Oryctolagus cuniculus: one gene and its partners. The protein of the gene in region 1 interacts with the protein of each later gene in a pairwise test. Links are inferred from orthologs where the notes say so. Each region holds a gene or a part of one and is shown in the gene's direction. Other genes may lie near its edges. The genes, in order: EMILIN1, NMI, IFT20, ZC2HC1C, BEX3, BEX5 and PLAC9.

The links.
Region 2: the proteins of EMILIN1 (region 1) and NMI interact in binary tests that used the Homo sapiens proteins (3 or more experiments, as listed by UniProt). The two-hybrid records come from large-scale screens. The link is inferred for Oryctolagus cuniculus from reciprocal best matches to the Homo sapiens genes EMILIN1 and NMI.
Region 3: the proteins of EMILIN1 (region 1) and IFT20 interact in binary tests that used the Homo sapiens proteins (3 or more experiments, as listed by UniProt). The two-hybrid records come from large-scale screens. The link is inferred for Oryctolagus cuniculus from reciprocal best matches to the Homo sapiens genes EMILIN1 and IFT20.
Region 4: the proteins of EMILIN1 (region 1) and ZC2HC1C interact in binary tests that used the Homo sapiens proteins (3 or more experiments, as listed by UniProt). The two-hybrid records come from large-scale screens. The link is inferred for Oryctolagus cuniculus from reciprocal best matches to the Homo sapiens genes EMILIN1 and ZC2HC1C.
Region 5: the proteins of EMILIN1 (region 1) and BEX3 interact in binary tests that used the Homo sapiens proteins (3 or more experiments, as listed by UniProt). The two-hybrid records come from large-scale screens. The link is inferred for Oryctolagus cuniculus from reciprocal best matches to the Homo sapiens genes EMILIN1 and BEX3.
Region 6: the proteins of EMILIN1 (region 1) and BEX5 interact in binary tests that used the Homo sapiens proteins (3 or more experiments, as listed by UniProt). The two-hybrid records come from large-scale screens. The link is inferred for Oryctolagus cuniculus from reciprocal best matches to the Homo sapiens genes EMILIN1 and BEX5.
Region 7: the proteins of EMILIN1 (region 1) and PLAC9 interact in binary tests that used the Homo sapiens proteins (3 or more experiments, as listed by UniProt). The two-hybrid records come from large-scale screens. The link is inferred for Oryctolagus cuniculus from reciprocal best matches to the Homo sapiens genes EMILIN1 and PLAC9.

What each region holds. Positions count from the first base shown.
Region 1 is NC_091433.1:175,879,194-175,883,134, reverse strand, and holds the start of EMILIN1 (EMILIN-1), read left to right. Parts: upstream 1-1,141; 5' UTR 1,142-1,524; coding exon 1,525-1,694; intron 1,695-2,443; coding exon 2,444-2,587; intron 2,588-3,029; coding exon 3,030-3,232; intron 3,233-3,941. UniProt on the Homo sapiens protein: Involved in elastic and collagen fibers formation. It is required for EFEMP2 deposition into the extracellular matrix, and collagen network assembly and cross-linking via protein-lysine 6-oxidase/LOX activity.
Region 2 is NC_091434.1:90,607,337-90,610,836, forward strand, and holds part of NMI (N-myc-interactor), read left to right. Parts: intron 1-1,255; coding exon 1,256-1,362; intron 1,363-3,500. UniProt on the Homo sapiens protein: Acts as a signaling pathway regulator involved in innate immune system response.
Region 3 is NC_091448.1:43,881,858-43,884,734, reverse strand, and holds part of IFT20 (intraflagellar transport protein 20 homolog), read left to right. Parts: intron 1-662; exon of another isoform or gene 663-736; intron 737-1,594; exon of another isoform or gene 1,595-1,798; 5' UTR 1,799-1,829; intron 1,830-1,953; 5' UTR 1,954-1,955; coding exon 1,956-2,082; intron 2,083-2,877. UniProt on the Homo sapiens protein: Part of intraflagellar transport (IFT) particles involved in ciliary process assembly. May play a role in the trafficking of ciliary membrane proteins from the Golgi complex to the cilium.
Region 4 is NC_091451.1:21,123,644-21,127,820, forward strand, and holds the start of ZC2HC1C (zinc finger C2HC domain-containing protein 1C), read left to right. Parts: upstream 1-1,377; 5' UTR 1,378-1,566; intron 1,567-1,941; exon of another isoform or gene 1,942-2,079; intron 2,080-2,174; 5' UTR 2,175-2,193; coding exon 2,194-3,513; intron 3,514-4,177. Other genes in the region: ACYP1 (acylphosphatase-1), read right to left, coding at 999-1,161.
Region 5 is NC_091453.1:90,036,098-90,039,425, forward strand, and holds BEX3 (protein BEX3), read left to right. Parts: upstream 1-1,342; 5' UTR 1,343-1,397; intron 1,398-1,399; exon of another isoform or gene 1,400-1,587; intron 1,588-1,763; 5' UTR 1,764-1,849; intron 1,850-2,213; 5' UTR 2,214-2,246; coding exon 2,247-2,582; 3' UTR 2,583-2,828; downstream 2,829-3,328. UniProt on the Homo sapiens protein: May be a signaling adapter molecule involved in NGFR/p75NTR-mediated apoptosis induced by NGF. Plays a role in zinc-triggered neuronal death.
Region 6 is NC_091453.1:90,755,362-90,759,475, forward strand, and holds BEX5 (protein BEX5), read left to right. Parts: upstream 1-1,343; 5' UTR 1,344-1,482; exon of another isoform or gene 1,483-1,486; intron 1,487-1,602; exon of another isoform or gene 1,603-1,729; intron 1,730-2,536; 5' UTR 2,537-2,597; intron 2,598-3,025; 5' UTR 3,026-3,054; coding exon 3,055-3,396; 3' UTR 3,397-3,614; downstream 3,615-4,114.
Region 7 is NC_091446.1:70,295,155-70,299,141, reverse strand, and holds the start of PLAC9 (placenta-specific protein 9), read left to right. Parts: upstream 1-1,187; 5' UTR 1,188-1,695; coding exon 1,696-1,759; intron 1,760-3,987.

The sequences.
Region 1 (3,941 bases):
CCTTCCCCTCCCCTCGTCTCCGTTCTTCAGTTCTCCCCCACTGTTCAGGCTGTGCCAGCTGCCTTCCCTCCTCTTAGCCAGACCCCGTCGGCCCTCGGCCCACCCTGCCCCTGCCCTGTGGTGGTTGGGTCTCAGGGCGGTGACCTGCTTCACACAGCCTCAGTTGCTCCTTCATGGGCGGGGGCGGGGTGGGAGGTCTTTGCCACCTGCTGCCATCCCCTGGGCCGGGCACAGAGCATTCTCCTGTCTCCTTGCTGTCTAGTGCCCTGGCGTCTCTCTCCCAGAGCACGCCCACGACAGGAGAGCCCGGGCTGGGACACCATGCTGCGAGTGCCTGTGGCACAGTGGCCAAGTTTCTGCCTTCTCACAGAGGCGCTCAGGTTTGCCTCCAGTCGGGGAGTGAGTTCCTGTGGCGCTGCACACACAGGTCCCAATCTTTACACCCGGGGTAGGGTCTGTCCTTCACCGAGACCAGCCTGGGCCCCTTATTCGTGTGGCCCTTTAAGAAAGACATTCTTCCTCCTCCTACCTGGCCCCTCCATTGCTTGACAGAGACAGCTCTGTCTCCAGGTCCCTTTCTCCCTCTGCCGGCTTCACTGCCTGTCCTGCCTGCCTTTTTCTTCTCCCTGGCCCAGGAACCCTCTCCGCTCTCCTTCTTTCTCCCCAGTCACTGACCGAGGTGCTTGGAGTCTAATCTCACCGCGACCATTGACTTGCTGTGTTACCTTGGACAAGTGGCTTTCCCACTCTGAGCCTCAGGGCGCACTAAGAAGCAGCTGGACTGCATGGTGAGTGGTGTCTGGCTGAGCCCTGCAAGTCTCTTTTCTCTTTCACCGCCCCCACCGGCCAGGCTCCCTCCCTCCCTCAAGTCCTCTCTCCCAGGGGAGGCCCTGGCCCCTGAGAGCTGTGGCTCTGGCCCCTGCTCCCTGTCTACGCCTCCTCCCAGCTGTGGCCCTGGCTCCGTGTGCCCTGTCTGAGAGGCTGGCCCCAGGCCCGGCGGCAACTCCACATTTCTGTTTTTCCTTTTTTTTTTCTCTCTCTCTCTTTCCCGGAGTTAACAAGAAGCAGATGTGGCGCCCGATGGTTGGAGAGGTGGGGGGAGGCTGGACCGGGAGCCAGACAGGGGGAGGGAGGGGAGGGACTGGGGAGAGAGGAGGCGGCCGCCCCACAGCCGCTCTTGCGCCTCTGACCGGCCACAAGGGCAAAGCCCTGTCACCCCCAGGATCCGGCCATCAGGAGAGAAGGGCCAGCTGTGGCCGGGGGGCGGGGGCACAGGGGCAGCATCCGAGGGGGCCGGGGCGCTGAGAACAGACTCCCCTCAGGAGTGGAGAAGGGGAGAGCGGAAGGAGTCTGAGGAGGGGAGAGGAGGGGAGAGGGGTCAGCCCAGGCAGCCCGGGAGGCGGCGGCGTGCGGCTGGGGGCTGCCTGCAGGAAGCCGGGCAGCGGGACCGAGTTGGCTGTCCCGCGGAGTGCGCCGGCGGCCAGGCCGGGATGTGCCTCTGAGGCCCCGCAGAGCGCCCCCGCCATGGCCCCCAGCACCCTCTGGAGCTGCTGCCTCTGCTGCCTGCTGACCGCGGCCGCGGGCGCCGCCAGCTACCCTCCCCGAGGTTACAGCCTCTACACAGCGGGCGGTGGTGCCCTCAGCCCTGGGGGGCCCCAGGCCCCCAGCGCACCCCGGCCTGCCAGCCGCCACAGGTAAGCTCTGGGGCCCAGGCCGGAGGCGGGCGGGACGCGGTGTCCCTGGGAAGGAGGGCAGGGGAGGCCCAGGTGGCCCCTCACAGGTCTGCCTTCCTGCCGGGCCTTTTCCAGGGTCCCCTGAACAGTGGACGCCTAAGGGGCATTGGCGCCCACGTCCTCCCGAGGGGGGACCTGCAGTTGGGCACGGAGGGAGTGTGAGGGGCATGGGCCAGGCTTTCCTGCCGGCTGCCAGCTGTACACCAGCCTGGATCCTCGGGCTGATCCTTTGTCCCCATCGCACTGGGTCCTCCTGACCCCACTCCAGCCCCCCGGGGGGGCAGGGCTCATCAATGGCTTATTCTCTGCTTAACCCTGAGCTGAGCAGGACCCCTGCCTGCCCGTCCTCTCCCCTGCGGGGTGGGTGGAAGCCAGCATCCAGGAGATCACCGACAGGGCCGGGCCAGTGCTGGCACTCAGCCTACCACGCTGGGAGTGAGCCGGGGCCAGAAAGGGATGCCAACACTTGCGCGATGTGGAAGCTCCCAGGACCCCACAGCCCCGAGAGTGGACCTCTCCGGGGTGCGCTTTTCCAGTCTGTGCCTCTCCCCATCTTGAAAAGTCTTTATCTGCTCCTGCAACACAGGAAGGCGTGGGGCCTGCCCCTGCCGGGACCCTGGCTCTCACTGGCCACTCAGGACCTTTTGACCCAGCCCCTCTGGTCGTCCCTGGGCCTCCTCCGGGACCTGTGTTCTGGTGCTTGGGTCCAGGTATGGTTGTGCCTGCAGGAACTGGTGTGCTTACGTGGTGACGCGGACGGTGAGCTGTGTCCTTGAGGATGGCGTGGAGACTTTTGTCAAGCCGGACTACCAGCCCTGTGGCTGGGGTCAGCCCCAGTGCCCCCGAAGCGTCATGTGAGTCCCGAGAGCTTGGGGTGGGCCCTCAGTGGAAGCTGCATTAGGCGGGTGCTGACTCAGGGAGTTTGTACAAAGCAGATAGCAAGGGGCAGGCCTGGGCTCCAGCCAGAGGAGGCGCCGAGGCGACAGTTTGGCTGGTGGGGCACAGAGGGCAAACTGACCTCTCCTGCAAGCACCCAGAAGCTTTCGGTGGCCTGGGACAGGTCATCTACAAGGGGGGGGGGGAGATCGAGGTCCTAGCACAGGGCAAGGGGAGGAAGAGCAGGGACTTGGCCCTTGGCCAGAAAGCTGACAGCTGTCAACTGAGCAAGGCCACATGCGGGACAGCTACAAGGACCCAGCCTGAGGGCAGGCCTGACCCAGCAGCGGCTCCGAGGACAGGGGCCGGGGTCCCTGCCGGGACAGGCAGCACTGAGGAGGCCGCCTCTGCTTCTGCCAGGTACCGCAGCTTCCTCCGGCCTCGCTACCGTGTGGCCTACAAGACAGTGACGGAGATGGAGTGGAGGTGCTGTCAGGGCTATGGGGGCGATGACTGTGCCGAGGGCCCTGCACCCTCCACGCCGCAGCCTCGGCCCCGGCCTGGCCGCCCCAACCTCTCTGGCTCCAGTGCAGGCAGCCACCTGAGCGGACTTGGGGGAGAAGGTGAGCAAGGGAGCTGCTGGGGGTGGGTGGGGGAGCCGTCCTGAGCAGACAGCGCGGGCCAGGCTGCCGACGGGAAGCCGCGCTCCAAGTCAGAGAGAAGGGAGTTCCTGAGATCCCTGAAACTCCCCATGCACGCCTTGCTGTGTGTGTGTGCGCGCGCGCGTGTGCACGCGGACAGCTAGAAAGCAAGAGAAAAAGAAGGCAGAGAGAGGGGAGTGCTCTCGCACGCCCACGTGTGGCCAGGATCCTCCCTAGTTGGGAACAGCTGTGGAGGAAGGGGACCGTCCTCTGAGGAGCTGGGTCTGTGGGGAACAGCTGAGACTACAAGTCCTAGCATGCACTGCACCTGACTCTGGGGCCCAGGCCGCCCCGTGGCCTCCGGAGACTGCAGATCCCAGAATGCAGCAGTTCCCACGGCTTCTCCTCCCCGTGTGCGGGGCACTCCGGATGCGCCGTGCTTTCCTGCCAGCGAGATAGCCACGCCATAATTATGGAAACAGGAACTTCTGGCTGACTGTCTGACTAGGCAGCCAGAGCCCCAGCTGGCTGGCCGCGGGCCCTCTGTCTGTCCCCGCGGTGCTGGAGGGACGTGATGCCCAGTCACAGCTCCAGCGCAGCATGGCCAACGGGCCTCTCGGCCAACCCCACCTTGTTCCGCTTGACGGGAGACAGAGAGGGTCATTCTCATCCACAGTGAGGAAGCCATGTC
Region 2 (3,500 bases), on another chromosome or scaffold:
GAGTATATTATTATATTTAAATATATTTACAATTTATAACACACATGTATGCAATGGAAAATGGAACTGAAAGTTTCTTTTGGTTCAAAAAATTTTTGAAAACCATACATGGTTTTTCCGTATATGCATTTTCTGTGAACTTTTAAAGACTCCTTGTATATGATACTCTAATCATCGTTTTCATTTATACTTCTTGAGAAACTAGGAAACATTCTAGTCTTGTTAGAATGATTGGATGAATTTCTGCAGCTGATTTTTATGTTTTACGCAGCTCAGAGTAGGTCTTGTTAAGGATGTTACTGCCCTCTGAATATTGTTGGTTGCAGTGGATAGTTTAAGAGAAAAAGAAGCATTTAAAACTATTTTTTTTTATTTTTAAAAACTATGTGCTTGAGTCTTCAAAATGGAGTGTATAATTCTTTAGAAATTAATCACTGAGGGGCCTGTGTTGTAGTGTAGAGAGTTAAGCTGCCACCTGTGATTCTGGCACCCTATTGTGGAACACTGATTTGAGTCCCGGCTGCTCTGCTTCTGATCCAGCTCCCTGATAGTGCCCTCGTGCTTAGGCTGTTACCACCTATGTGGGAGCTCTGGATGGCGTTCCGAGCTCCTGGCTTTGTCCTGGACCAGTCCCAGCCATTATGGCCATCTAGGGAGTGAAGCAGCAGATGGAGATCCCTTTTTCTCTCTGGGTCTCTCTGTGTCTCTGTAACTCTGCCTTTCAAATAACTAACTAACTAACTAGCTAACTAAATAAATAAATCTTTACAAAAGTGAACAATCATGTTGTAGTGTTCACTGCAGTATTGTTCTGTTTGCAGGACTTTTTTTTTTTTTTTTTTTTTTTTTTTTTGTTCATAGAGTTACAGAGAGAGAGGGAGAGAGAGAGAGAGAGAGAGAGAGCGAGAGCGAGCGCTAGCTACCTTCCATTCTTCCATTTGATGCTCCAAATATCTGCAATGGCCAGGACTGGGCAAGGCTGAAGCCAGGAGCCACGAGTTTTATCTGGGTCTCCTATGTGGGTTCAGGGGCCCAAGCACTTGGGCCATCTTCCACTGCTTTCCCAAGCACATTAGCAGGGAGCTGGATCAGAAGTGGAGCAGCTGGGACTTGAACCAGTGCCCATATTGGATGCCTTGCATTGCAGGTGGAGGCTTAACTTGCTGTGCCACAATGCTGATCTCTTGTAGGAAGTTTTAATTTGATTAAATGTTTGTGATACTAAAGAGAACCATTTCTTTTTATTTACTTTTAGTTGCTGACAGGATTTTGGAAAGGAAAGATTATCCTCTTTACACAAATCTGAAGTGCCATAGAGTGATGGTTTCTCCATACATGGAAACACATTTGAAAAAGTATCAGGTAAAGTCACTTCTTTTCTTTCAGTTGGAGAACTCACTGCCCAAGCCCACCCCACAAAAAATAAAGAAAAATTTGTATCTGTTACTATTTGAATGTTATCAGCTGGGAACATCAAAATAGTGACTTCATTTTTGCTTGATACAGAATGAATTTGTCTTCTTAAAGACTTTTAATATAAATCTGTGTCTTATTTATTGTACTGATTTTTATTTTAAAATATATTTATTTATTTTCATTTTACTTGAAAGACAAAGAGATATTCCATACACTGATTCACTCCCCCAAATGCCCTCAATAGCCAGAGCCGGGCCAGATCGAAACCAGGAGCTGGAAACTCTATCCAGGTCCCTTGTTTGGATGGCAGGAACCCAAGTACTTCAGCCTTGTCTGCTGTCTCCCAGGGTGTGCATTAGGAGGAGGATGGACCAGACACAGATGGGCCAGCACTGGAACCAGGCACTCTGATAATGGGATGGAGCATCCCAAGAGGCAACTTAACTGCTCTACCAAAAGCCCATCTTCATTATACAGTTTTTTTTTTTTTTTTAAAGATTTATTTGGCCGGCGCCATAGCTCACTTGGCTAATCCTCCGCCTGCAGCGCTGGCACCCGGGTTCTTGTCCCGGTTAGGGCGCAGGTACTAGTTCCGGTTACTCCTCTTCCAGTCCAGCTCTCTGCTGTGGCCCGGGAGGGCAGCGGAAAATGGCCCAAGTGCTTGGGTCCCTGCACCCGCATGGGAGACCCAGAAGAAGCTCCTGGCTCCTGGCTTCGGATCGGCGCAGTGCCGGCTGTGGCGGCCATTAGGGGAGTGAACCAACGGAAGGAAGACCTTTCTCTCTGTCTCTCTCTCACTGTCTACAACTCTACCTGTGTCTCTCTCTCACTGTCTAACTCTGCCTGTCAAAAAAAAAAAAAAAAAAAGATTTATTTATTTATTTGAATGGTAGAGACACAGAAATAAGGGCGGGGGGGGGGGGCGTGGAGAAACCTCCCATCTGCTGGTTCATTCCCCAAATGGCTACAATGGCTCTGGCTGGGCCAGCCCGAAACTAGGAGCCAGGGGTTTCTTCTGTTTCTCCCATGTGGTTGCAGGACCCCAAGCACTTGGCTGTCCACTGTCGCTTTCCCAGGATGTTAGCAGAGAGCTGTATCAGAAGTGGAGCAGTTAGGACTCAAATTGGTGCCCATAAGGGATGCCGGCACTACAGGCAGAGGCTTAACTTTCTACACCACAGTGCCAGCCCTAGTCATACAGTTTTTTGAGCGGAAAATTCAACATGATGGCATGACCTTTATTTTTAAGGTGGAGACATATGTTCATTTCTCTCATATGTCTACTCATTGTGTCGCTCCCCCTCTTCGTGGAGGAGCAACACAGGACCCTGCGCTGTTCTTTCGTCTGCTCGGCCCTCCCCGGGTTTGCTGCTGGTTCTTCCCGGGTTGGCTACTATCCCTTCCACCTCCGTGGAAGGGCAGTTCCCCCTGGCCACATTCCCCACCTTCCGCAGGGGAGCGGCACACCGCCAGCCGGCTCTACTCGGGGGCTGCACAGGTGTTCCTTCAGCTAGATGTTCCCCATAGATGTTCCCGGTGCATGCCGTCTCTCTCCTCCTTTATAGTCCTCCTCCGCCAATCCCAACTCGGCTGCCCACACGCCGAGTACGCTGCTCTCCAATCAGGAGCAAGTCCTACAGTTAATTGGTTGAACTGGAGGCAGCTGTGCGGAAGCTGTTTACTTCTCTCCCAGCGCCATATTGTGGGAGAGCAGATGCATAGAATAAGTCTTAATTCCAGTAACAGTCTAGTCCGGTTTGCTCCCCACAGATCCCCCTTTCTTTTTATTTTTGGCGTTGATACGCGCCTGTCTTCGGTGTCCCGCGGCACACACTCTGCTCTACTTGCTAGAGTTGCCACAGGCTCTTACAAGTCCTATCAATCAGGAAAACCGAATCCGGGTCCTCTCTTTGCCATTGTGAGGAGGTTTTTAGGCGCTGATGCGTGCCTGTGTTCGGTGCCCTGCAGCGCATGCTCTGCTCTGCCTGCAGGGGACTTACAAGACCTATCAGGCAAACCGAATCCAAGCCTTCTCATTGCCTTATTGTGGGGGAGACTTATTAGTGTTGGTTCGTGCCTATCTT
Region 3 (2,877 bases), on another chromosome or scaffold:
TACCAGAGCAGATGGAAGCTCTCTCTCCATTTATCTCTTGGCTTTTGAATAAAAACAAATACAAGGTTTCAGTGGATTCGCGAGGCCAGGGTCGTGCAGGCAGCCGTGGCTGGCCCGCTGCATTGGACTGCATTGCTCCTTACAATTTTTGATGCTTAGGTATCAGATTGCTGTTCCTTCTGGAATTCAGAAGTTCTGGCCCCAGTGAGACCTGTTCTTTCCCGACCATTGCTCCTCCCATGGCACACCTTGGGGTGCTCACTCCCAGAATCACCCCACTCAGGAGGGAGCTAAGGCAGGTGGGAGGGGAAACGGGAGGCTGAGGGAGAGAGGGCTGGGGCTGGCGCAGGGCCAGTTGTGGGTAGCCTCTGGATGACCCGGGTTTTGGAATTAGCTAGATGTGATCAGCATTGCCTCCCCTTTGCAACTGTAAATGTTGTTTTGGTTTTGTGTTTTGAAAGCCAGAGTGAAGGTGAGTTTGCAGTTTCCTTCCCAGAATCGAGGCATCTTGGGCCAGGAATGCAGGGGGGCTGGGGAAGGGAGAGTGCATCTTGTTGATTCTCTGTTGCCTATAAAATAATCCAAACTCTGGCTTGGCCCAGGGAGCTTCCTGGCCTGCTTCTAGCCCCCCTTGCAGCTCCCTCCACTTTCCGCCCCTCCAGGCAGCGTAGGCCTCTTTCGGTGAGTCTGTGCTGCTTTCTTCGCTCGGAGCACCTCGCCGTGGCCTCCTCCCTTGGTATGTTCTATGCTGACACTTCGTTCACTCCTTTTTGTGTTTCCTGCTAGAAAGAGATTAGTCCGACTTTGGTTCCCAATTCAGGCAAGTATATGGTATCCTTTAGCATACATTTTGGTCAGATTTGTCTCCTGGGTTCTTAACTTTTTGACCCTAATATGTTTTTGGAAGAGATTTACTTATTTGAAATTTATCTTTTATTCACTGGTTCACTCCCCCAAAGGCCATAATGCCTAGGGCTGGTCCAAGCCAAAGCCAGGAGCCCAGAGCTCCATCCAGGTCTCCCACTTGGGTGGCAGGTGCCCAAGCACTTGGGCCATCTGCTGCTGCCTTCCTAGGCTCATTAGCAGGGAGCTGAATTGGAAGTGAAGCAGCCAGGACCTGAACCAGTATTCTGATATGGGATGTGGCATTGCGGGCAACAGCTTAGTTCACTCTGCCACAATGCCCACCTCAACCTTAACCTACAGTTGAATTCAGAGGCAGAGAGAGAGGTCTTCCATCCACTGGTTCACTCTCTAATTGACTGCAACAGCCAGAGCTGCGCCCATCTGGAGCCAGGAACCTCTTTCTGGGTCTCCCATGTGGGTGCAGGGGTCCAAAGACTTGGGCCATCTTCCACTGCTTTCCCAGGCTATAGCAGAGAGCTGGATCGGAAGTGGAGCAGCCGGGTCTTGAACTGATGCCCCTGTGGGATGCTTTATCTCTGGGTACACAGCTGAGGACATGTCAACATGGCCATGGCTCCTAATAGCAGAGCCGCTCTTGACCGCCCTGGCCTCCTGCAGCTCTTCGGTGGTGTTTGTAAAGCACTTAACCCAGTATGATTGTTCAGTTTCCGTGTGTGTCTTTCTCCAGCTAGACCGTGTGTCCTCCAGGGCAGGCGCCATGTTGCATTCAGCTCTGTACCCCCAGCATCTAGCAGTGTGGGCACGTGGTAGGCACTCAAGAAATGTGTTGAGTGAACGATGCCTGTGACAAGCACCTGGACTTTATTCTTTCCTGACCCTTGCTCCTGTGACACACCTCCTCCTGACTGTCACTGTCACCCCTTCAAAGCAGAACTTCTCTAGGGACTCTGGAAGGGAAACAGGTGAGGCTCAATGGGTGGCTGAGGGAAAGGTGAGCCTTTGGAATATTGGGGTTTACGGCACTGGTATTTGGGGGCAAGGGGGGGCTGGAACGTTGACTGGGGACTGGGACTGGTTTCTTTGCAGCTATGGCCAAGGACATCCTGGGGGAAGCAGGGCTGCACTTTGATGAGCTGAACAAGCTGCGAGTGTTGGACCCAGAGGTCACCCAGCAGACCATAGAGCTCAAGGAAGAGTGCAAGGACTTTGTGGACAGTGAGTAGCACTGGAGGGCACAGTGCCATCCCAGCCCAGCTGCGGCCTGGCCCTGCTGGGGGTTAGGTCTGGCCTCTGAATTCCCATGTACCACACTTTGTCTTCCTGCTATTTTGCAGTCATTAGTCCCGAGTGTCCCTCAAAGCAAATGGGGATGAGTGGAGGGCTTTTTTTCTTCTCTTAAATGATTTTATTATATATCTGAAAGTTGAGAAACTGGTTTAATCCCCAAATGGCCAGGCCAAAAAAAGCCAGGAGCTTGGAACTCCATCCAGGTTTCCTCTGTGGGTACAGGGGCCCACACAGCAGTTCTGCTGCTTCCCCTGGGTATTAGCAGGGAGCTGGATATGACTTGCAGCAGCCAGGGCTTGAACTGGTGCCCACAAGGGATCCTGGTATTGCAGGTGGCTACTTAATCTGCTGTGCCACAGTGTTGGCCCCCTTATTTATTTGAAAGGCATTGCGGCCAGTGCTATGGTATAGTGGGTAAAGCCACTGCCTGCAGTGCCAGCATCCTGTATGGGCGGCAGTTCGAGTCCTGGCTGCTGCACTTCCAATCCAGCTCCCTGCCCCTACACCCACATGGGAGACCTGGAAGAAGTTCCTGGCTCCTGCCTTTGGATTGGCACAGCTCTAGCCATTGTGGCCAACTGAGGAATAAACCAGTGGATGGAAGAACTCTCTCTCTCTCTCTGCCTCTCCTTCTCTCTCTGTGTAACTCTTTCAAATAAACAAATGTTTAAAAAAAAAAAAAAAAAAGGCATAGTTACAGAGTTCATTTTCTGGTTTACTCCC
Region 4 (4,177 bases), on another chromosome or scaffold:
AGTAGGGAGATGCACAAGTTGAAGTTATGAAGACAGAAGTGGGAACAATGACCGAGTCAGCTCCTGGAGGGTACTGAAAGGCACCAATTCAAGAAAGAGAGAGACCCTTCTTCCTGCGGAACAAAAGGAAGGAAGTCAGGAGAGAGGGAGGCGCCCTGGGAAAGTCAGCCAGGCTGGAGAGAAACTGTGGGAGTTGATTAAGGCGAGGTCAGAGGCTGACCTAACTGCGAAATGTCTGGAGCTGCGGAACTTTAACAAGTTTGTGGAAAAACGGAATTAAAAAAGATTGTTTGTTTTGGTCCAAAATATACATGCATAGTTTTTTCATAATACACCTTTCCTAGAACTTTTTGAAGGCCTCTGGTATGCACAGATCTCAGTTATTTTTTGCAGTGGAATAAACTTCTCTTTTAAATCTATTTCCCATAAACTTTTGGAAGTCCCCTTGTATACTAAGGCAGTCTAGTCCACTAGGAATGAAAACAAGGAATAAAAGACTGCCCTGGAGGGGCCCACCAAAGAGTTTCTTTGTGCCGTGTACAAGCTGTAATAGGATCTGTGGAAGCGTTAACGCTGACTACTGCTGTCTACATTATTTTCCATGTGCATGAATCCTTTGAGTAGTTACAGGGAAAAAAACGAGCTGCCTGTTCCAAACAGCTTACACAAATGAACTGAAGCACGAAGAAGACAAATAAACTGTCTTCTGATGTCAACAAGTCACAGACCATCATTCAGTGTTGAAACTAGGTTATACTGATTATTTTCAATCTGTTATGCTAACTTTATTATCATCACATTTGGCTGAGTCATTCCCAGGTCCTAAGCAGAGATGGTCCGGGTCACCACGTGACAGCAAAACATCACAATATCAAAATAATTAGGTTGGCCACGAAATCTACCCCGGAAAGATACTGCGTAGCAAAAAAAAAAAAAAAAAAAAAAAAAAGGCAAGCTCCAGTTTGGCAAGGCAAAGCACGGAAAGATAGCAGCCATACCTGGGGCCCGTACAGAGCTGCCGAGCGTGCTAACAAGGGCTATCAGCAGGCCCACTCCCGCTAACCGGGCGGACGCCGGGATCTTGCGGTGGGATGACTCCGGGGCACATGGCGGGGCTCCACCCTTTGCCAGGGACGGGCACACCCCGGGGCCTGGGAGCATGCTTCTCAGAAAAATACAAGTTCTCCTTTGATGGCGCCCCAGAAAAGCCTCTCCCACCTCCTCCCCCGTTCCCCAAGGGCAGGGCTGAACTGAGCTGCAGAGTTGGCTGGACACTGGGTCAAGTGACAACAACTCGGGCTGACCGCACCCCGCCTCCCACTCTCAACACCCTCCCCCCGCCATCCGCCCGCCCAGGAAGACGCGCGGACTGCGCCTGCGCGTGCCTCTGCGGCGGCGATCTGCGAGAGGCGGGGCTCGGCGCGCGAGGCGCTTTCGTCTCCAGGCAACGGGAATCGCCGAGGCCCGCGGAGAGCGCCTGCGCTGACGTCGGTTGGGGGCGGCCGGGTCTGGAAAGCCAGGTCCTGGGGTTTCCCCTGAGCCGCCGCGGTGCCCCCAGAGCCGGAGGTACGCAGAAGGGCGGGGAGACGTGGGGTGAACACCTCGACCTCCCGAGGGCCCGAGGAGCAGGAGAGCGAGGGCTTGTCCCCAGAAACCCCCGCCTTAGTGGGGGCGCCCGGGTTGACTGGCACCGGACGGAACTTCCGGGTTCCAGATCTGAAAGGGGCTCAGGTAGCCCCTTTCTTCGCAGGTTAGCGGCCTCCGGCGTCTGCGCCACGGTGACTCTTTGAACGGGGTTGGCTTGGTTTTGTCACCTGTAAGATGGTGGGCCTGGAGTGAACCCTTCAGTTCACAGGTGGAGAGACTGTGTTCCCCAAGCCTAACACCTCTCCCTCCATCCAGCGCTGGCTTCGCCTGCTGGCGGGCGAGTAGAGTGCAGATGGCGGGGGCTGGTACCGGGTCACTGTGTCTTTCCACCCTCGGGACCTAACAGAGCGGGTGGTCACCACTCACTGCGAATGCGCATTGGAGAGCTCTGGCACACCCAGCGCCATGTCCCTAGCGAAGCTGGAGGGAAATGTGAGTAGGGCAGATGTAGCAACAGTTTACTTTAGCAGCCGGGGGTGAGCCTCAGACAAACTCAGCACATGGATCTGGTTTGACTCTCCCCGTAGGCTTCCATCCAGGCCCTGAATGGCTGACCTCCAGTTGGCTCCATATCTGCCTGTGGGCGTTATGTTCCCACATAATAAAACAGAGGCTGCGGGGCTCCACTCCGCCCGGCGAGACCCTTATGAACAAGGTGACACCGCGCAGCCGTCCTCTGTGGGGCATCGGAGGAACAATGTCCGGGAGAGGCTTTTGAGCAGCAGAGAGCTGACGCGGGAGAACGTCTACACCCCGCCCAACCAGAACACGCGCTCCAAAGCCGGGGGCAGCTCCCCTAGCTGTGCTGATGCTGAGTCAGGCAGCGGGCCCCAGGGCCAAGGACAAGGTTGGTTCGCTGCATCGGGCCCTCCGTCCTGGCATCCCAAAGCAAATAACCCATACTTAGGTCCCTTCACAAAGAAGGGAGTTGGGGTGGATCGGGCGTACCCGCTGAAACCCATGGTCCACCGGAAGTCTCGCAGTACAGGGCAGGCTGGCCCCGCTGGGAACCAGAGTGTCTACGTGAGCGCCTCTGAGCCGAGAGAGCTTCCACACAGCAACTTCACGCCAAGGAGCACGGTGAACCCCTCTGTGGTTGGTGCCGTCCTTGCCGCCATGCAGGGCGAGAGGGCCGTGGCAAACCTCACCAGGTCTGAGTGGGTGCAGATCCAGAGACTGGAAGCCCTGGGGGAGAGCTTAGAGGAGGAAATCCGGAGAAAGGAGATCGTCCTGCGGAACAAGCTGAAGAGGACGGAGGAGGAGCTCAGGAGGATCCAGAGGGGCAAGGAGGAGGCCGAGGGGAACGCACACAGAGCGCTCCGGAGAATGGCTCTCTCCCGGGGGAGAGCGGACGGTGGTGCCAGCCACCCCGCGTGCAAGCCCGTCTTCCCCCCAGGATTTAGGTCCAAGGAGGCGCCCAGGAGTGACAGAAGAGAGGATGGAACTTGGAGGCGGTCTCGAGAAAATGCTGGTCTATGCCAGTTCTCTGATCATGGAGTCCAGGAGCTGGAAAGGGAGAGGCTGGCGGCAAACAGTAACAAAATCAAAGATGGGGTCTCGGGGCCATCCACGGAGAAGGTCTCTCAGTCTTCGGAAGCGCCGGACGGTGCTTTCCAGGGGCTCGGTACGGATTCCGGCCTGTGCAGGGCACCGGGCTCTTCGGGTTCCAGCTGTTCTGAAGAGCCGGAACTGGGCCAGTGCAGCCACTGTGGACGCACGTTTCTCCTGCTGAGGCTGGAGCGACACTCCAACGTCTGCAGCAGGGTGCAGGGCTCCAGGAGGAAGGTGTTTGACTCCTCCAGGGCCCGGGCCAAGGGCACAGAACTGGAGCAGTACTTGAACTGGAAGGGGCCAGCCTCGGTCAAGGTAACAAGGGCCGTGTGGATTTGACTTTGTGTGGAGAATGTTGTAAGGGCCTCTGGTGTCCTCACCAGCTTTCTTTAGGGAACATGGGTTATGTAAAAAAAAAAAAAAAAAAAAAGATGAAAAAGAACATTGGTTTTTATAAAGATTTGATTTCTTATTTACTTGAAGGTCAGAGTTACACAGAGAGGAGGAGAGGCAGAGAGAGAGAGAGAGGTCTTCCATCCGCTGGTTCACTCCCCAGTTGGCTGCAACGGCCGGAGCTGTGCCAATCCGAAGCTCGGAGCCAGGAGCTTCTTCCCGGTTTCCCACATGGGTGCAGGTGCCCAAGGACTTGGGCCATCTTCTACTGCTTTCCCAGGCCATAGCAGAGAGTTGGATCGGAAGTGGAGCAGCCGGGACTTGAACCAGCGCCCATATGGGATGCCAGCACTGCAGGTGGTGGCTTTACCTGCTACGCCACGGTGCCAGGCCCATGAACATTTTTTTTTTAAAGATTTATTTATTTATTCAAAAGAGTTACACAGAGAGAGAGAGAGGTCTTCCATCTGATGGTTCACTCCCCAATTGGCCCCAATGGCCGGAGCTGTGCTGATCCAAAGCCAGGAGCCAGGAGCTTCTTCCAGGTCTGCCACATGGTTGCAGGGGCCCAAGCACTTGTGCCGTC
Region 5 (3,328 bases), on another chromosome or scaffold:
GGGGCCCAAACCAGAGGCAGTAAAGCATTTGTCTGGTCTGTCTTGTCTTAGGGCAGTATATGATGATTTCCTTTTTTTTTTATCACAATCAACAACTACTAAATACTTTTTCATAACAATGCCCCTTTCTTTATGTTATCTCTCTAGCTGTGATAACTGTTTAAAAAAGGATTTCAAGTTGAAGAACAGAACGTTTGTACTTGGGATGAGTTTCAGTCTTTAGTCACTGCACACACAACCCCGGTTTATTTCTAATATTTTTGAAAGACATCAAAAAGTAGATGGCTTTGAGTCTAATTTCTGACTATTAGAGACTTAACTTCTGAGCTCCTTCTAAGAAAATATTTGTCAGGGTGGTTTGGAAAGTTTGGAAAGGAAGGCAGGGAATAAAAAGGCTCCTTTACTCTGATGCCTGGGGGTATCAAAACCATCACACAAAGTTTTATAAAATGCCCTAAGTCTGACAACCAGACTTCTCTCTGAAGATTTACTTTACAGATTACATTGCAAACACCAGCTGTATTCAGGAAGGGTCCCTCCTTTTTCCAAACAAAATTTTGCAACAGGCCAGCAGTACAGTATGTTTCCAAAGTGATGTTAATGTTGTGTGGAGCCCAGAGAAAATATTTTCTGTGTGGTACAGGTCTACATAAACAATGAGGCTTTTTCATTCTGCAGGATGAAGCATTTCTTTCAAAAATGAAAACTGGTTATTTCTAATTTTCTGAGGCATGCTACTTAAAAAAAAAAGGAAATAGAAAAGTATACACAGCCCATTCCCCTTCCTCATCTCCCTTTCTGACGAGTCCCCTTCTGCCTCTTCAACTCAGTCCTTATTCTAAACTTCCTAGCAGGGTAAGACTTAGCGGCTAGGTGGGCATTGGTGACTGAAAGGGCAAGATGGGGAGAGAGGGCACAGGGGAAAGTTCAAAGCCAAGGAGAAAGGAGAGAAAGCAGAAAAGGTCAAAACCAAGAATGCAGTGAGGTGGGAATGCGGGTGATGGAAGATAATACAGAACTTCCTTAGAAACCAGCAGCGAGCAAATTCCAACCATAAGGCGATGATGCCACTTGTAGGCCCTCAGATTGGAGAGTATGGAGATGAGTGACAGGGCGGTGTACATCGGGGCACCACCGCACAAAGATAGGCGGTGTGAGTGTTTCGGGGGCGGGGGGTGGGTAAAGGATGCGTGTGCTTGTGGCTGCTGGGGGCGGGGGGCTCAGCAACACTGGCCGCTGGAGTCGGGGGCGAGCGCGGCGGTGACGCGCGGCCGTCACGTGACCCCGAGCTGCAGAGGGACGCAGCCTCGGGTGCAGTCGTCACTCGCGTCTGGCTACCAGCTCCCCGCTGCCCTGCGCTCGGCGGGCTGGCATCGGGCCCGGGCAGAGCGGAGCAGGTGAGGGCCCCGGCGGCCAGGGCGGCAGCGGCGGGCGAGGAGAACAGCGCAGCGGGCCCCGCCGCTTTCTGTTTATACAGTGGCCCCCAGGAGTAGGGGTGCAGGGGCGGCTGGGGTGCTGGAGGGGAGAGCAGCAGAGCAGGCAGGAGCCAGAGGAAGTCCCCCCGCCCCGGGACGCTGCGGGAAAACGGTGAACACCGGAGGGGGCGGGGCGGCTCTGCGGAGGGACGCGGCCGCTGAGGGCCTGGACGGAGGCGCGGGGGCCAGGGCGGCGGGAAGGGGCCGGCAGGGGGCGGGGAGGGGGGGCGTAGCGGTGCCGAGCGCTCGCCTGCAGCCGCCCCCTCTCCCCGACCCCGCCGTCTGCAGGTCTGCAGGTCTGAGGCGCTGAGTGTCGCGGCGGCGCGCCGGCGGCGAGAATCGGGAGGAGGAGGAGACCGCAAGGATAGGCCCAGGTCGGTGGGACAGACCGGGGTGGGGGCGGCGGGGAGGAGCGTGCGGAAACCCTATCTGGGACCCCAGACCCCTCCAGCGACCCGTGCCCCCTCCCCCTCCCTGTCCCTGTCCTCCATTTTGGTGCCTGCAGAGCTCTGGGAAAGAATCCTGGGAAAAGAAAAATGGTGGGCTTTGGAGGGGATGGGGGATGAGGGGAGGAGGAGGAGAGAGAGCTAGAGGGAGGGGCTCGCATTGGAGGCCCCCTAGAGGGCGCACGAAGCGTCGAAGGTGGGAAAAATTAAACCTGTGGTGTCAGGGCTCTGAATCCTGCTGGTCAGTGCACCACGCATTCAGTCTCTCCTCACCCTTTACTTGTGTCCAAAGAAACACAGCCAGAAAAAAAAAATTCAATTCACCATGGCAAATATCCACCAGGAAAACGAACCAATGGAGCAGCCCATGCCGAATGGAGAAGACCGCCCTTTGGGAGGAGGTGAAGGCCACCAGCCTGCAGGAAATAACAGACGGGGACAGGCTCGCCGACTTGCCCCTAATTTTCGATGGGCCATACCCAATAGGCAGGGCAATGATGGGATGGGTGGAGATGGGGATGATATGGAAATGTTCATGGAGGAGATGAGAGAAATCAGGAGAAAACTTAGGGAGTTGCAGCTGAGGAATTGTTTGCGTATCCTTATGGGGGAGCTCTCCAATCACCATGACCATCATGATGAATTTTGCCTTATGCCTTGACTTCTGCCCTTTTCCGTGAGATTAATACTGTGATTCCCATTGATTTCCTTTTCCTTGCATTTTCCCAACATGCCTTTATGGATCCATTTGCTGTGAACCTTATGTTATTTCCATGTGTCAAGTGGGTCTTGTGTTGCCAGCTTCTAATTGAAAATTGCATCTGCACCCAGACTAAGTTTCTGTCAGAGTAGAGTTTCATCCATTTGCATGGAAAAATGTAAAGTTAATAAAGCAATTGAAAAGCAATCTAGATATTTATTATTGTCTCATTGAAGAGTATAGACTCATAAAACAGGAGCCAAAAGTATGAAATGAAACACAGCAAAGTGTTCACTGGGATGCATTTCTGTGTGGCGAGATATTGTGTGACTTTTCCTCTTTTTATCTGGAGTTTGAGAAGCAATGGAAATGATTTTTCAACGAGTATCTGAATAAAATGCAGGTACATAACAATTACTGGCTCAACAGACCTAAAGAAGAGTAAACCTTGATATTTTCCAGTCTTAACTGAATAATTCCTCCCTTCATTATAGTTACATTACTTTAGAGTCCTGTGAAATGAGGAACAATGCTTATCTTACAGGGCTGCTAAGTGGACCAGATGAGGGATGAAACTGTTGGGCTGGCTCCTCTTTAACTCCCAGCATTTAATAGGCTCCTTTCGCATACTTTGGGAGGACTGGAAGGAGTTCTCACCCATTTTCACAAGTACAGAAAGCAAAAATATGTGGGTTCTCCTATTCCAT
Region 6 (4,114 bases), on another chromosome or scaffold:
TATTTCAATTAGCTTATCAGCATTTCTCTGTATGTGGGTTTGACAATTTTCTGGTTCATTTCTCTACGTTTATTTTGGTACAATACTATTTTACCATTGTAGTTTTACAATGGCTTTAATCTGTTAGTGAAAGTTCCCCAAATTATTGTTCTATTGAAAGACTTCACTGGGTGTACTTTACAGATGAAGCCAAACATTTTTGTAAAGTGAAGTGACACCCAATTTAGAAGAGATATTCAGTTTGTTACAGGCTCTCAAGATTTGAAAATCTCCCAGTAAAGCTCATGGTGCACCATCTTATGGAAAGATCCACAGACAGATTCTTAATTGGGGGAACCTTAGGTTTATATTTCAAAGTCCTTAAAGAGGGCAGGAGTGCACGGTTATGTATAAAATGATTCAGCAGCAGAAAAAGTTGCCAGGTTTTGCAAGTCAAATCTCTTTTTTTTTTCAACTCAAAACAGTAATGTTGTCTAATGATAATAACTAAACTATGAGTAGATGCAGATGGGCAATCTAAAACAAACATCGCTCTCCAAAAAGGAAACTAATTAAAGTAAACCTTTTTAAAAAGATTTTATTTGTTTGTTTGAGAGGTAAAGTCACAGAAAGAGGGAGAGACAGAGAGAAAGATCTTCCATCTGTTGGTTCACTCCCCAAATGGCTGGAGCTGGGTCAGGCCAAAGCCAGGAGCCAGGAGTTTCTTCCGGGTCTCCCATGTGGGTGCAGGGACCCAGGGACTTGGGCCATCTTCTACTGCTTTCTCAGGCCATAGCAGAGAGCTGGATCGGAACCGGTGTCCTTAGGGGGTGCCCACACAGCAGGTGGAGGCTTAGCCTGCTATGCCAGAGCACCAGCGCCTAAGGTAAACATTTTAAACTGTCCTGTCTTATCTATTTTCCACACTTCCTAGCCTCACTCTCCCTCCTCCCACATGCTTCCCACCCCACCACACCCTCACCAAGCTGGGCCAATCTGAGACTCCACCAGCAAGGCTGTTAGGGTAAATTCTGGGATGTTACTTTCTGGGCAGTGAAAAGGAGAGGAGTGGGCATTTGCGTATATAGAATATGAAGAAACAAGTCCCTAAAAGCTCCAGCAGAAATCACGGCAAGGCAAACACAAACAACAAAATAATAAGACTCCTTTGGTCTTATTGCTAAATAGGAAATGAAAATAGAGGGGCGGGTAGTAGCTTAAGGTAGCCCTGGTGAAGGCGGGAATGAGGAGAAAGGGAGCTCCGCCCACACCCACACCCCCACCCTTCTGCCGCACTGCAGGTGTGAATGGTAATTGGGACTCTGAGCTCACAGTGACGTGGCCCTTGCGAGGTCTAGAGCGGAGCTGAATTTTTCTCTCCTCCTAGTTGCGGACTAGCAGTCGTTTGTGGCAGTGCGGCTTCTCATTGTTGCCCTGAAAGCCAGCGAGCCAGTTGCCCGGGGAAGGAGGAAAGTGGTGAAAGCTGACACCGATCCTTGGCAGGTTGGTGAGTGCAGTCGGGGGGGCAGGGGTGGTTCCGCTGGTTCCGCTGTCCCATCCCCAACGCCCACCCATTTGGTGCTAGAAATGAAGGGCTTGGGAAGTGAAGAGGGACCCGCGATCCCGCGATCCCGCGATCGAGAATGCGTACGCGTTGGCGTCTTTTAGGAGGCGGGCGACTGGACAAAGTCTGTTAGAGGCAGACGGGAGGAGGTAGCAAGAAAGCGGCAGAATTCCTTCAGGGCCGCGGGTGAGTGGGAGGCCGCAACTGGAGACCTGGGGATGAGGAGGGCGGACCCTGTCACGGTTGCAGGCCTGTATTGTCGGTATCTTTTATTCTTTGGGAGTCAGAAATGATGGACTGCAGGGGGCGGGGAGGGTAGTTGCTTCAGAGCTGGGAGATTAGATCTGAGAAGCCGCGGAGCAGACTGAGGGTTACGGGCAGCCGCTAGAAACTGTTTCTGGTCCCTGCGGATCAGTGATCAGTGTAAACGTGGACACTGCTTGTAGACTCTGGGATCAGAATGGTAACGCGCTCTGATTGCAGCGGATCCTGGTTTATATCCACAAGACCTCTTCTCCCATCGTCCATCTTGATGCATAAAATGGTGGGCAAGGGAGCAGAGTGCTCTGGAGAGAGGGCAGTGGGTCCCATAGAGGCCTAACGAATATCCAGGTTGAAATCCTTTGTAAATAAACCACGACTCCACCCAGAAAGCTCTTCTGACTCCTCCGCCACACAAGTTGTCCATCTGCTTTCACTAAAATTAAAAAAAAAAAAAATTGCCAATTTGATGGGATGAGACAGTGAAAAATAGGAAGCCTCAAAAAGAGGTTAAAATTGTTTGTAAATAATTATTTTTGATTGCACTATTTCTGGACGGCGAAGTAGCCTGTTACACGTTGGGAAAAGAAACCCCAAGATAGGATGGAGGAGAAACAGAAGTTGGTCATATTTGATTAGGAAAGTCCCAATTCAACAATGGAACAGATGCTCCCAATACCAGTCCTTTGATCAAGTGATCAGTCCTGACCATTATCGCATATCTATCTGCAGGGCTTCAGATCCATTGGCGCAGCAGATTTCAAGACAGAAAAACTGCCTGTGGTCACTGCAGGTAGGGACTTGCCTGGGACTCTCGGGTGTACGGATCAAAATAAAACCTGGGGGACGCAGTCTTCCTGCTTGAGTCAAGTGCAGGAGTAACCTAGTGGAGTCTGAGCAAAACAGCAAGCCAGTGGCTGCTGATGGGCTAAGAGAACAAAGGAGTGAGTTCTGGGGTGTACCTGGAGAGCTTACCCGGATCCCTGAGAGCTGAGGTATGGTCTCTCAACTGCTGCCCCGCCTACCACCCTGTCCTACATTTTGGTGGGAGTGGCCTGGGGAAGGATTTTCAGGGAAAATGGTGGGCTTTGAAGCAGGGCCAGGACTGGGGCGCCCCCTAGAAGGATCAAGAAGTCTCTCAGGTGGGAAAACCTTTGGCGGACGGAGTTCTGAATATTATTGCTGACTGTTCAATCCCTCTCCTTGCTGTTTATGTCCTAGGAAGAAGAAACAGGAAAAAAATCCTTAACATGGAAAACGTTCCCAAGCAAAACAAGGTCGGAGAGCAGGCCGCAGTGAAGAATGAGGAGGAAGCCCGTCCTTTAGAAGGCGGGGAAGGCCAGCAGCCTGGAGGCAATATCAGAGGGGGTTGGGTTCCACCTGTCCAGGATTTTGGAGAAGATATGCCGGATAGGCTTGCCAATAACATGGATTTGATAGATGGAGAAGCAGATGACATGGAACGGTTCATGGAGGAGATGAGAGAGCTAAGGAGGAAAATTAGGGAGCTTCAGTTGAGGTATAGTCTGCGCATCCTTATAGGGGACCCCCCTCACCATGATCATCATGATGAGTTTTGCCTCATGCCCTGAATCCTGAGGTTAACGATAACAAACCCCCTGCTTTCCAAACTAGCATTTTCTTGATGTAAGCTTAACAGTGAATCTTTTGGTGTTCTCTTGCCACTTGCTGATTGGAGATTTCCTTTGACCTGGTCTGTAACTGTTTCTGTCAGCAGGGGTGTGTCATCAACTTGCATGGAAAGATGTTTATCTCACATCATAAAGTTAATAAAGCATTTAAAAAGCAATTATGGACATTTTATCTCATTTAAAAACACACATCTACACTATATATAATACAGGAGTGGGTTTTTGGTCTAGCAGATGAGACTTCACTTGGGACATCCTGGTTCAAGTCCCCACCACTTTCCAATTCCAGTCTCCTGCTAATGTGCACAGTAGGAGGAAGCAAGCACGGTTGAAGTAGTTGTGTCCTTGACACCCACGTGGGAGACCTGAGTTGAGTTTCTGATTCATGGCTTTGGCCTGGCCCATCCCTGGCTATTGCAGGTATTTGGGGAGTTAAGTGAACTAAGGGATACAAAATCTCTCTCTGTCTCTCTGCCTTTCAGATGAATAAATATATTTTTGAAAATAATATACTATATAGTATATTGTATAAACCAAGATGTGTTTTTCTCTAAGTAGCATAGTTATTGATACTTTTTACTTTTTTTCTTGATTATCTATTTTTTCTGACTTTAAAAAAACAAATACATACATTTTATATGTGTTGGAGAAAACATAA
Region 7 (3,987 bases), on another chromosome or scaffold:
GTGCCAACACACCGGGTTCTAGTCCCGGTTGGGGCGCCGGGTTCTGTCCCGGTTGCTCCTCTTCCAGTTCAGCTCTCTGCTGTGGCCTGAGAAGGCAGTGGAGGATGGCCCAAGTGCTTGGGCCCTGCACCCCATGGGAGACCAGGAGAAGCACCTGGCTCCTGCCTTCGGATCAGCACGGCCATTGGGGGGTGAACCAACGGGGAAAAAAAAAAAGGAAGATCTTTTGTTAGAGTCTGAAAAAGCCCACCACGCGAGGAACGACTCCAAGAGACCTTTCTCTCATGCAACCAGCAAAGGGTTAAAGATTTATTGATTATCCAGCATGCTGGGGCTGTCCGATCATACATGAGCAGAGCAGCCCCGAATAACCAAAGGTTAGGGTTTATAAAGGCAAAAACCGCAAAACCAGGAAGGGGGGAAATACATGGTTGCTATGCATGGTTGCTATACACAGTTGCTAAAATCAAAAGAGAGTATATAAAATCAAAAGAGAGTATATGGTTACTGGGGTCAACATAACCTAAAACCTAAGTGAAATTAATATTCATCATAATCTTGACAATACCAGTTACAAGATTACAATTAGCAATTAGGACTTGACATTAATGTAAGACACAGACAAATCACATCTTTATTATTAGCCCAGGTAACCCAGGTGCCACTTGAGCAATCATGCTAGGGGGTTTTTGTGCTCTGCCAAGGGTGATGTAGTGCACTGCTATTGTCCGACTATTTGAGATCATAGTTTCAGACCAGAGTCTCACGGTGGGGGGGTGCTTTCTCAGAATGGAGTCTCAAGTGCTCCAAAATGGAGTCCCTACTGTCAAGGTGCTACTTCACTCTGTCTTATTTTTACAGCTGTACCAGGAATGTTATAACCTGTAAGCTTAACTTTTTACACCCGCACATATACAATTTTAACTTTTCACTTTCTCTCTGTCTCTCTCTCTCACTGTCCACTCTGCCTGTCAAAAAAATAAAAATAAAGAAAGAAAAATATTACAGATCTGTGTCTGTTTTTTGGACTGATAGTGACTTTCTAGGGTGCATCCCTTATTAATGAGTTCGATAAAATCTTTAGCTCCTGCTCATTTTATATCTGTGTGAGTCCTGATTTAACGTTTTTTTGGAAAAGCATCTTTTCACATCACTGTCCCTTCTTTCCCGGAAGAAGGACTTCCTACAGAAGACCCAACAGCAAGCCTGCGATCCCACAGACGCTGTCTGAGGCCATCGGAGCCCTTTCTTGTTCCTCGTGGAGAAAAGCTTCTTCGCACCTGGGGGGGGGGGGGGAGGGCTTTGGCGCCTGTGCCACAGCTGTGGGTGACAGCGGGACTCAGTCTACCCCTCTGTGCAAGGAGCTCACAGCGACTGCCTGAACCCCGGAGCTGCCGCCCAGCCTCCCCTTGCGCCCTGCACCCCGCGCCCGGGGCCCCGGCAGTGCAGCCGCTGCCTGGGAACGCTCCCAGTCCAGCATGACTGCCCCTCCGCCCGCGGGGGGTCTCTGGGCTCCGCGCTGCTCCCGGGGTGCGGAGGGACTCGGGAGGGGGCGGGTTCACTCGAGCCAGAAAGCCCGGAGCCGCCCAGGAATTTTGGCTCGGGCTGGGAGCATTTCCTCCCGGGCTGGCCCGGCGCGATCCCGCGGAGGGCTGTCGCTGGCAGACGCGCGCAGCGCTCGGTCCCGCCGGCATCATGCGGCCCCTGCTGTGCGCGCTGGCCGGGCTCGCCCTGCTCCGCGCCGCGGGCGCTCTGGCCGGTGAGTAGGGGCCGCGGGCCCGCGTTGCGGGCAGGGGACTGGGAGCCCGGGAGGCCCGCCGAGGGCAAGGTGGGGATGAGCGAGTGAGAGAGATGCCAGGCAGGGAGGGAGGGAAGGAGGGAGTGACAGAACCGGCGGGGAACAGAGGCACAGAGAGAGACAGGGGAGAGGGGAAATAAGGGATTAGAAAGAGGTTTTGGAGAAACACAGATACCAGTTAGGGCAGAAAGCAAAAGGAGTTGAGAGCAACAGAGCAAGAAACAAGGATTGAAATGGAGAGAGACGGAGACCGATGTTTTCAGAAAAACCTATTGAGAAAGTTGAGAAAAGCTGGGGGGGGGGGGGTGCCAAACTGCTGGTGAAAGGAGACAGGAAGGGGTAAAAGGTCAAGTTTGTAGGGTGGGGCAGCCCTGAGGCCAGCTGGGAGCAGGCCTGGCTTTCCAGGGCGATGCACTGGAAGCTGAGCTCCAAGGCCAGTGACCCAGGCAGGGCCCCACACGGCCATCCGGCCATCCTGGAGCCAGGCAGACGGCCCCTGCCGTGTGGGGACAGAGTCAGATTCCAGGTTTGTTTCTTTAAAGGATGTATTTATTTATTTGAAAAAAGAAGGAGATCTTCCATCCACTGGTTCACTACCCAGTTGCCTGCAACAGGCAGAGCTGGGCCAGGCCGATGAGGAGCCAGGAACTCCATCGGGGTCTCCCATGTGGGTGGCAGGGACCCAAACACTTGGACTGCTTTCCCAGGCTAGCAGGGAGCTTGTTTGGAAGTGGAGCAGCCAGGATTCAACCCGGCGTCCTGATATGGGGTGCTGGCGTCACAGACAGCACCTTAATCCATAACGCAGCCCCAGGATCCAGCTTGCCGGAGAGCTTTCCTGAAGGCTGAGCTGCTTTGAGTGGAGAAACAGGGGGCGAGCACCCCCCACCCCCGTGTGCACACGCCCCTGGCTGAGTTCCAAGCTTTGCATTGTGTGCTTTATTCCCCTTCTCATGCCAGTGGTCTTCAGGCTGCCCCTGCACAGGTGAGGCACAGACAGGATGACAGTGACAGAGAGGTCACCCCAGAACTGCACATTCCACAGCACTGTGCAGGGTGCAAGCCAGAGAGTGCTCGTGGTTCATCCGAGTGCCCAGGGGAGGGAAGGCTCAGAGCCCTCACCAAGCACCCAGCCCTCCTGTCCCCTCGCTGGACCCTGTGCTGGGACAGAAGCCTCCCGGGTCCCTGTTGGGGCCACATGACCTGTGTAGGCAGGCACTCCAGGAAAGGCCCCGGGCCTAGGCAGGGCTCATCGAGGAGGAGTGACACACACCTGCTGCTGACCCCGGGATGTGCCCGGCCAAGAGCAGGCATCCACACACAGGACGCTGGCTCTCTTGGACAACCCCAGGGCTCTCTCTGAGCCTCCGTTTCTGCACCTGTTCAGGAGAATCAGCCGTTTCATCACAAGGCTGCCAACGAGTGCCTGCCCAGGCCCTCGGTACAAATCCTCCTTGGCCCAGCTCCTCTCTGCCCGGCCTCACACTCCCAGAGCTGAGGGCACCCAGCAGAGCCTGTGACTGGCTGATTTTCTGTGGCCCCTGTAGCCACAATTGGTATATACACTTTAATGTGAATTTCCTTTAAAATATTAAGTTTTTTCTTCTGATTATGTATGTTTAGAAGCTACAGATTAAGAAAAAATAAAGAGGAAAGTATAAATACATGCATGAATATAAGTTCACTTTTTAAAGATTTATTTATTAGAAAGGCAGAGCAACATAGAGAGAGGGGAGGAGAGAGAGAGAGAGAAAGAGAGAATTTTCCATCAGCTGGTTCACTCCCTAGGCCTGCAAGAATCCGGACTGCGCTGGGTTGAAGCTATAAACTTGGAATTCCATCCAGGTCTCCCACATAGGTAGCAGGAATAAAGTGCTTGAACCTTCATCCGTTGCTTCCCAAGAGCATCAGCAGGGAGCTGGACCAGAAGTGGAGTAACCAGTACTCAAACTGGCACTTCCATACAGGAGGCAGTGGCTTAACCACTGGACCACACCGCTCACTCCTCTATTCACACATTTCGTGTATAACCTTCAGGTTGAAGATAATATCCATTTTTTTTTCTTAACTTTTGTTTATAAAATTTTCTAAAAGATTTTATTTATTTATTTATTTATTGAAAGGTAGAGTTATAGACAGTGAGAGGGAGAGGGAGAGACAGAGAGAAAGGTCTTCCTTCCGTTGGTTCA